Sus scrofa: one gene and its partner. Each later gene encodes a partner of the first gene's protein in a complex. Links are inferred from orthologs where the notes say so. Each region holds a gene or a part of one and is shown on either strand. Other genes may lie near its edges. The genes, in order: CCND1 and AMBRA1.

Region 1 (3,806 bases):
CGGCAATATTCCCAAACCATTCCACTAGGAAATCGCTCCCCACCCGCCTCCACACACAACATAAACAGAGAGACAGCCCCTAGAACTACGGGACCAAAAGTGCTTTGAAATGGAATGGTTCTGGAATATTGAGGAAAACCAAAAACAAACAAAACAAAACAAAACAGAAAAACAACCACAAAAACCAACCAGCTGTGGGTTTCACCTGGATGTGAGCTGCAGGTCTGTTGGGTGAAAAACCAGCATCTCGTGAACAAGTAACTACAAAAATAGGAAGATTATAAAAATAGAATATATTAGGTCACTATTGCGGTGGGCGCGGAGTCGGAGGTGGCTTTTCCGTCCCTGCTACGCTGGCTGGCGCCCGACAAACCGCTCAGGTGGCCGGTGCGCAGGCAGAAAGAGGACGACGAGCCTCTTTCAGCATCGGACGATGCCGAAGCCTGCGCTACTCTAGACAGAGGTGACATCGGCCACCGATAAGGTGAAGGTCACACGCCTACCTACGAAATAAAATAAACACGCACAAATGACTTATAAAGTGACTACATGCATAAGCAAGACACAGGATGCCTAGGACTGCTTTAAAGCCGTGCTTGGGAAAAAAGCACACAGGTATGTTTCTCTAGCTAAAACCCTCTTCTACTTTACAAACGGGTGGTGGGCTTTTTTTCTATTCTTTAAAAACATGTTTATGCTTTTTTTGTTTGTTTTCAACACGGAAAGAAATCACATCTAACCCTCCCCGCACACTTGCTCATCTTAATTCTACTCTTACAACAGACACAAGCACATTAATAGAAAAACTAGTTGATTATGGGGTATAAAATCCTCTATTTCTGCAGCATGACCCACCTCCCCCGCCAGCTCAGGGTCATGCAAATACTATTTTTTTCCTCGCTTTTTCTGTTGTCGTTGTTGTTTTTTAAAGACAGGTTTTCAGGTACTTTTTTTTTTTTTTTTTTTTTTTTGCCTTTCGCTTAAGTCAGAGGTGGGAGGGAGACAGAGCAGAGGGGAACGCCAGTGGTGAGGGGCGGGCCTCTCCCCCGGGGGTGGCCGGGCCTGAGCGGCTCCGTCTGGGGAGCGCGGGCCGGCCCCTCCCTGGCTGCGGCGCCTCAAATGTTCACGTCGCGAACATCGGTGGGCGTGCAGGCCAGGTCCACCTCCTCCTCTTCCTCCTCCTCCTCCGCGGCCTTGGGGTCCAAGGTCTGCTGCTGGGCCTGGCGCAGGCTGGATTCCAGAAGGGCTTCGATCTGCTCCTGGCAGGCGCGGAGGCAGTCCTGGGCAAGACGGGGTGGGATGCTCAGAGGGTCCCCGGATGCTAACAGAAAATGAGGCCTCCCCCAACCAGGGGGGCCGTTGCCCGGAGCCCAGGATCAACAGCGTGCACCCCCGATCGGCCCCCAGGAGCCCAGGCGTTAGGTGGCGAGTCTGCTCAGGACCCAGCCTGCCCGCCCACCTGCCTTGCCGCCTGGAGTCCCCAGCGGGGCCAGACCCCTGGCTGGAACCCCTCCCTGGGGCTCTGATCTCTGGCCCCAGGGCCCACCACCGCACTGCTGCCTTCAGCCAGTCCAGCACCATCTGATCCAGGGCGGGGAGACCCTTCACCTCTGCCGTGTCAGCCCTCGTGGCGAACCCAGCCTTCTGTGATGAATGGCGCGCGTGACCCAGGATGAGTGCTGGGTGGCCCCGGGGACCCTTTATCCCCCTCCTCTCCCGCCACCGCTGCAGACGTCCTCCCGCAGTGCCCGCCCCATGCGTTCGACGGAGAGGAGGAACCCAAGTCTAGGGCCCTCTCCTGGTCCCCAAAGCTCCCAGCAGCTCAAAGGTGCCCCTTGCTGTCGGGCGGCCAAGGTTCCCACGTCTGAAGAGAGGCCCCCTCAACTCCCGGGAAGCCACACCGGAGCTTAGAATAGTCCAGAGCCAGGTAAAGTCTCCAGGGCAGCCTCTCCCACAGGAACAAGGAGGTGGGGGGATCCGCCCCAAAGGAGTGAAGCCCAGCCGGCAGGGCTTCTGGGTGGATCCCGGGGTGTCTCCCATGGGTGCAGAGCGCCATGCCTTACGGGGGGTTCCTCCCCACCTTCCCAATATTCACCGTGGCAGATGAGAAGGCAGTGACGGTGCACATGACCCCATTTCACAGAGGAGGAAACTGAGGCCCAGAAGGTCCCAAGTGGAACCCAGGACTCCTGCTGTCCTCCCCCCGCTGGGGCTCGGATCAAACATCCAGCATGGCCTCGGTTCCAATCCGGAGACCTGAGAGCCCCCACCCAACAAATGCACCAGCGTCTGCAGGTGGCTCCAGGGGCCCTGGCTCACTGGCCCCCGGAGTGCGGGGAGGGCTGATGGCAGAGTAGAGAGCGGGGGGGGGGGGGGGGGGGGCGCGCAGGACGGCCTTCCCTCCCCGCAGGGCCGGGCACGTCCCCCCTCCTCTTGGCCCTCCTGAGAGGAGTGGGCAGCAGCCACGGGCGGGAGGGGGGAGCAGCTGCTCGGCCATGACCCGGAGCCACTGCTGCCCAGGCTTTCCTGCATCTGAGCTCAGCTACGGTTGTCACCTGGTCACCAGCCTGATGGGATTTCTACCTCCACGGATTAAACCCATCCCTCAGCTGAGAGGCGTTTTATTTCAAATCTCATCACACCCACCTTTACCCCCAAGGGATCACGTGGAGATTGACGGTCCCCTGTGGTCTTTCCAGTTGGGGGATGACCCCCAGCAGCCAGGCAGGGACGCTCCACTCCCTGAGCCCAGAGCTGCCCGTGCCTGTGCACCAGAACCTTCCCCCTTTGGGGGGTCATGCAGGCGTCCGTCACCCACCCTCTCTTTCCTTCTGAGGCTCCCGACCGCCGGAAGGCAGACCACCAAAAAGCAGCGCGGGCCCAAGCCCGACCCGGGCCGGGGTCAAGGCGGTCACTCCCACACCAGGGGGGCTGATGACCCCTCAACCTCGCCGGTCTAATTTGGTGAAGGCCACAAACCCTTGCAATTGTTATTTTAATTCTTTCTTTACAGGCAAGAGTCGAGAAGAAGACAATGACAATTGTAAGAAGAAAGATACAATCGACTCCAGCTTCAGGAGCAGCAGCCTGTCAACGAGGGGCCATAGAAACGAGTGGTCTGTACGGGACCCACTGTGGACGCTGGACCTCACAGGGGCCCTTGTAAAGCGGCCATTTATCGGGCGTCCACATTGTCGCCGGGACAAAGCTCCAGCGGGCCCCACCCCACCCCCCATTCGGGCACGGATCACTGACTCGGCCTGCCTGTGGCCCCTCTTCTCAGCTGGCCCCCCAGGGAGGGGCTGAAGTTCCCAGGAGTCCGGGGGACACAGAGGCCTGGGAGGACCCTCCAGCCCATCAGCAAGCTCTGAGGTGCTTCTCCTTCCAACGGGAGAGTAAAGGGGGGAGCTGCCCCCCCGGCCAGGGCCAGGGCCTCTGAACGCAGGCGGTCCGGACAGTCCCCCAGGTGGCCCCAGCCCATCATTTCCCGCCGGCCGATGGCAGCTCGGCTCTAGAAGCATCTAGACGCAGGAGCGCGGTCACTTACCGGGTCACACCTGATCACCCTGGAGAGGAACCGCGTCAGGCGGTGGTAGGACAGGAAGCTGTTGGAACTTCCCAGGTGCAGACCTTGCACGGCCGCCACCACGCTCCCGGCGGCCACCATGGAGGGCGGGTTGGAAATGAACTTCACGTCTGCGGCGGAGGAGAGGAGGCAAAGGGGCTGTGGGGGGGGGCTCTGCAGGATCCCTGGATCTGGGCCCCCAAGTCCCCCGGCACCTGTTTGCCACTCTAGTGCCGGAGAG
Region 2 (3,421 bases), about 12 Mb from region 1:
AGTGGCCAACGAGTAGCCACAGGAAACAAACCTGTAGTTTGGTAGAGCAGCCCTGGCAGCCCAGGAGCTGTGACTGTAGCCGCCCACAGGCTTGGACCGCTTCTCTGCCCCATCAGGGCTGAGCGCAGGCTGGAGGAATCTTCCTCAGGGTAGAGCTCCTGCTGAGTCCAGGCCATTCACAGCAGCCACCACCAACTGAATGCCCGCTCTGCACCAGGTCCTGGGTGAGCAGGATCTCATTCCCTCTGCCTGGCACCTTGCAGGCGGGATGTTTTGCAGATCAGGAAACTGAGGGATGTGGATGGCGAGGGACTTGTCCAGGGTCATGCAGCTAGTGAGCGAGAACTGAGATCTGAGCCAGAGCCTCATCTGCTCACATGGAAGGGAGTGCTCAGGCCCCTGGAGAAGGAGCACGACCTTCCCTCTTGCCCCCTAGAGACGTGGGCTGAAGCCTCAGGCTGGTGCAGTTGACTGCCTCTCGAGAAAGATAAGGGTTATCAGACCTCCAGCCCCAGGAGGACAATATGTGGGAAATAACTTGGGGAAGGTGGTGGGTAAAGCAAGATAATCAACGCCTTCCAGAAAACAGTTGCAAATCTTCCTCGTGTGATATAAACAGAACAGCAAAGAGGAGAGACCACAGAGCTTTGAAGTGGAGCAGAGCAGACCTTTGCTTTCAGGCCACACTGCATATGATGCCCTGGCTTTCCAAAGACCAAGCAGCAGGCCCTGTCCTAGGGCCAGATCTATCAGTTTATCCATCCGGGCTGCCTCCTCAGCCACCTCCATGAAATGTGTGACCAGCCTGCCACTGGTGCCCAGAGGGTTAAAGTCGGACTCCTGGCTTCTGGTCCTGCCCCACCTCTTAACTGAGCAGCCTGGGCCAGCAAGGCCTCGGTTTCCCTAGCAGTCAAACAGAAGTATGAATTATGGGCATCTGGGGAGTCTGATCTAGCCTTCAAGCCTCTGATTGACTCTCAGAATGAAGGACTGGCCGGCCTCTTGGTTCTGCTTTTAGCTAGAATCCCCCAGCTCCCACTAGCAGTTGTCTGCCTGACACAGAGGCCTGGGCCAGCAGCTAATTCCCTCTCCTGCTTTGTGCCCTCCAGGGGAGGGCTCAGAGCTCGGTGCCAGTGGGGAAGACGCGCTCAGCAGGATCCAGCGGCTGATGGCGGAGGGGGGCATGACAGCCGTGGTGCAGCGAGAGCAGAGCACCACCATGGCCTCCATGGGCGGCTTCGGCAACAACATCATCGTCAGCCACCGCATCCACCGCAGCTCCCAGACGGGCACCGAGCCCGGGGCCGCGCGTACCTCCTCGCCCCAGCCCTCCACCTCTCGGGGACTGCTTCCGGAAGCTGGGCAGCTGGCTGAGCGAGGCCTGAGCCCCCGGACAGCCTCCTGGGACCAGCCGGGTACCCCTGGGCGGGAGCCACCCCTGCCCCCCTCCTCCCCTGTCCCTCCTCCTGCGCCCCTTCCCAGCACTGAGGGACCAACCCTGCACTGCGACCTGACCAGTAACAGCCACCTTCTTGACAGCGGGGGCAGCAGCAGGGGGGAGGCTGCGGGCCCCAGTGGGGAGCCACGGAACAGGTAGAGACGTGTGCACTGGTGCCTCCCCTCGAACCGCTGAGCAGAAACCGGACCTCACAGCTGACTGGGAACTGGACTCGCGGAGGAGCCGCAGGCTGCGTCAGGAAACAGGAGCAAGAGGGTGGGGGGTCGACAGGGAGTCCAGGTCAGCAGGCATGAGGCAGTCGAATGGGCAAGGCTTGCCTCCAGAGACTAGAACCTTCCAGGATCTGGAGCCCAGGGGAGCCACACACTGCTGTGCTCGGGGTGAGTGCAGGAGAAAGTAGGTATCCCTGCCATGAACCGCCCCCCTCCTTTCTCCTAGAAACATGGCTCAAGGGACCGGGCACTGGGCAGAGAGCCCCCAGAAGGGCAAACAGTCTTCCAGATCTGGGCCAAACCATCCTGACAGTGGCCCCTGGGGCAGCTTCGCCCTGTTCACCTGTCGTGTGGGCAGAGCCACTAGGAGCCCAGGAGCAGGAGGAGCAGCCTAGCCCCCAGAAACCACCTCCATTTCTGAGCCTTCCAGAGCTTCAGCCTCTCTATAATCATCCTACCCCACAGAGACCACAGTCAGGGGTCAGGCCAGGCTCCGGGATTCCTGAGGACAGGGGCTTCCAGCACTTACTGGTGGGGAACAGCCATGCAGTGGAGGGGGCAACCTGCTTGCCTGATACAGGATGGGGTCAAGGGACGGTGGGCAGGTCCTCACTCAGGAGGTGGGGGGTAGGCTGGCCAGCCCCCAGGGCTTGTCTGCCAAGCTCCTCCTTCCCCACCCCACCACCTCCCCAAAGGCTCTCAGAGCAGCAACTGTGGGTGTCAGTATTACCTGAGCCTAGGCCAAAGCCAGCCCAAGGCTGGGGGAGGGGATGAGACTCCAGGTCAGAATGTGAGGTCTTGGTCTGTGATTTAAGGTGTTGCATGTGGAATCTTGAACTGTATGTGTAGTTTCTAGTGGAGAAATCAAGGCTCTGATTATTTTGTTTTTAGTATGAAAACGTGATTTCTTTTCTGTTTGTAACTCATCATAGAAACATTGTGGTGGGAGGAGAGGGGATAGTCTGACTGCAAATGAGGGAAACACCAAAGATCTACATCATTAAAATGATGATATGCCCCTCACCACGCTCCTCTCTCTTTGTTTCCATGGGGGGTGGAGGAGGGGGTGGTGATTGAAGGGGAGACACTGGGATCACTGAACTGAGCCACCCTGGTTCTTCCAGCCCTGTGGTGCCCCAGCAGAAGCCACTCAGGTAAGGGCTGCCACCTGTTTCATGCTCCATCTCTGTGTACCACCACCTCCTGCTTCCCGGGGGCCTGCTACGGATTGGGCAGCCTTCACAGCAGTGAGGGGTGGGTGGGGGGTTAGGTGAGAACGAGATTACTCATCTTGATTGCTTCCTACCCAGGATGATGGGCCTGGGATGAAGATGTAACTGGCCAGAAAGTTGGCTCCCCTCCAGTTCTGGGACAGCACCCATTAATGGGTGTCTGGGTTGGCCGGCAGGGAGCTTGGTCTTACCTGTAGGCATCCCCCTAAGACACCATTTGGTGCTTAGGTTTCCCTTCGTGTCCTCGGTACAGTGAGTACGGGACCTGCCTTGGCCATTTAGTTTAAAGCCAGTTAGAAAGCGGGAGAAAGGGATTTCGCATCGTGGCTCAGCAGTAATGAACCCGACTAGTATCCATGAGGACATGGGTTCAATTCCTGACCTCACCAAGTGGGTTAAGGATCTGGCTGTGAGCTGTGGTGTAGGCTGCAGACAGCATTGCTGTGGTTGTGGTGTAGGCCAGCAGCTACAGCTCCAATTTGACCCCTAGCCTGGGAACCTCCATATGCCGTGGGTAC

Evidence for each region.
Region 2: the proteins of CCND1 (region 1) and AMBRA1 are in contact, whole or in part, in a cryo-EM structure (PDB 9IVD), measured with the Homo sapiens proteins. The link is inferred for Sus scrofa from reciprocal best matches to the Homo sapiens genes CCND1 and AMBRA1. Residues at the interface, in NP_444284.1 of Homo sapiens: Thr286, Pro287, Thr288, Asp289, Val290, Arg291, Val293, Asp294, Ile295; in NP_001354397.1 of Homo sapiens: Arg54, Ser55, Phe57, Val73, His75, Arg96, Thr97, Trp99, Leu116, Ala139, Arg184, Ile945, Asn1012, Asn1029.

What each region holds. Positions count from the first base shown.
Region 1 is NC_010444.4:3,623,274-3,627,079, forward strand, and holds part of CCND1 (G1/S-specific cyclin-D1), read right to left. Parts: intron 3,697-3,806; coding exon 3,548-3,696; intron 1,281-3,547; coding exon 1,116-1,280; 3' UTR 1-1,115. UniProt on the Homo sapiens protein: Regulatory component of the cyclin D1-CDK4 (DC) complex that phosphorylates and inhibits members of the retinoblastoma (RB) protein family including RB1 and regulates the cell-cycle during G(1)/S transition.
Region 2 is NC_010444.4:16,116,389-16,119,809, forward strand, and holds the end of AMBRA1 (activating molecule in BECN1-regulated autophagy protein 1), read left to right. Parts: intron 1-1,109; coding exon 1,110-1,597; 3' UTR 1,598-2,694; downstream 2,695-3,421. UniProt on the Homo sapiens protein: Substrate-recognition component of a DCX (DDB1-CUL4-X-box) E3 ubiquitin-protein ligase complex involved in cell cycle control and autophagy.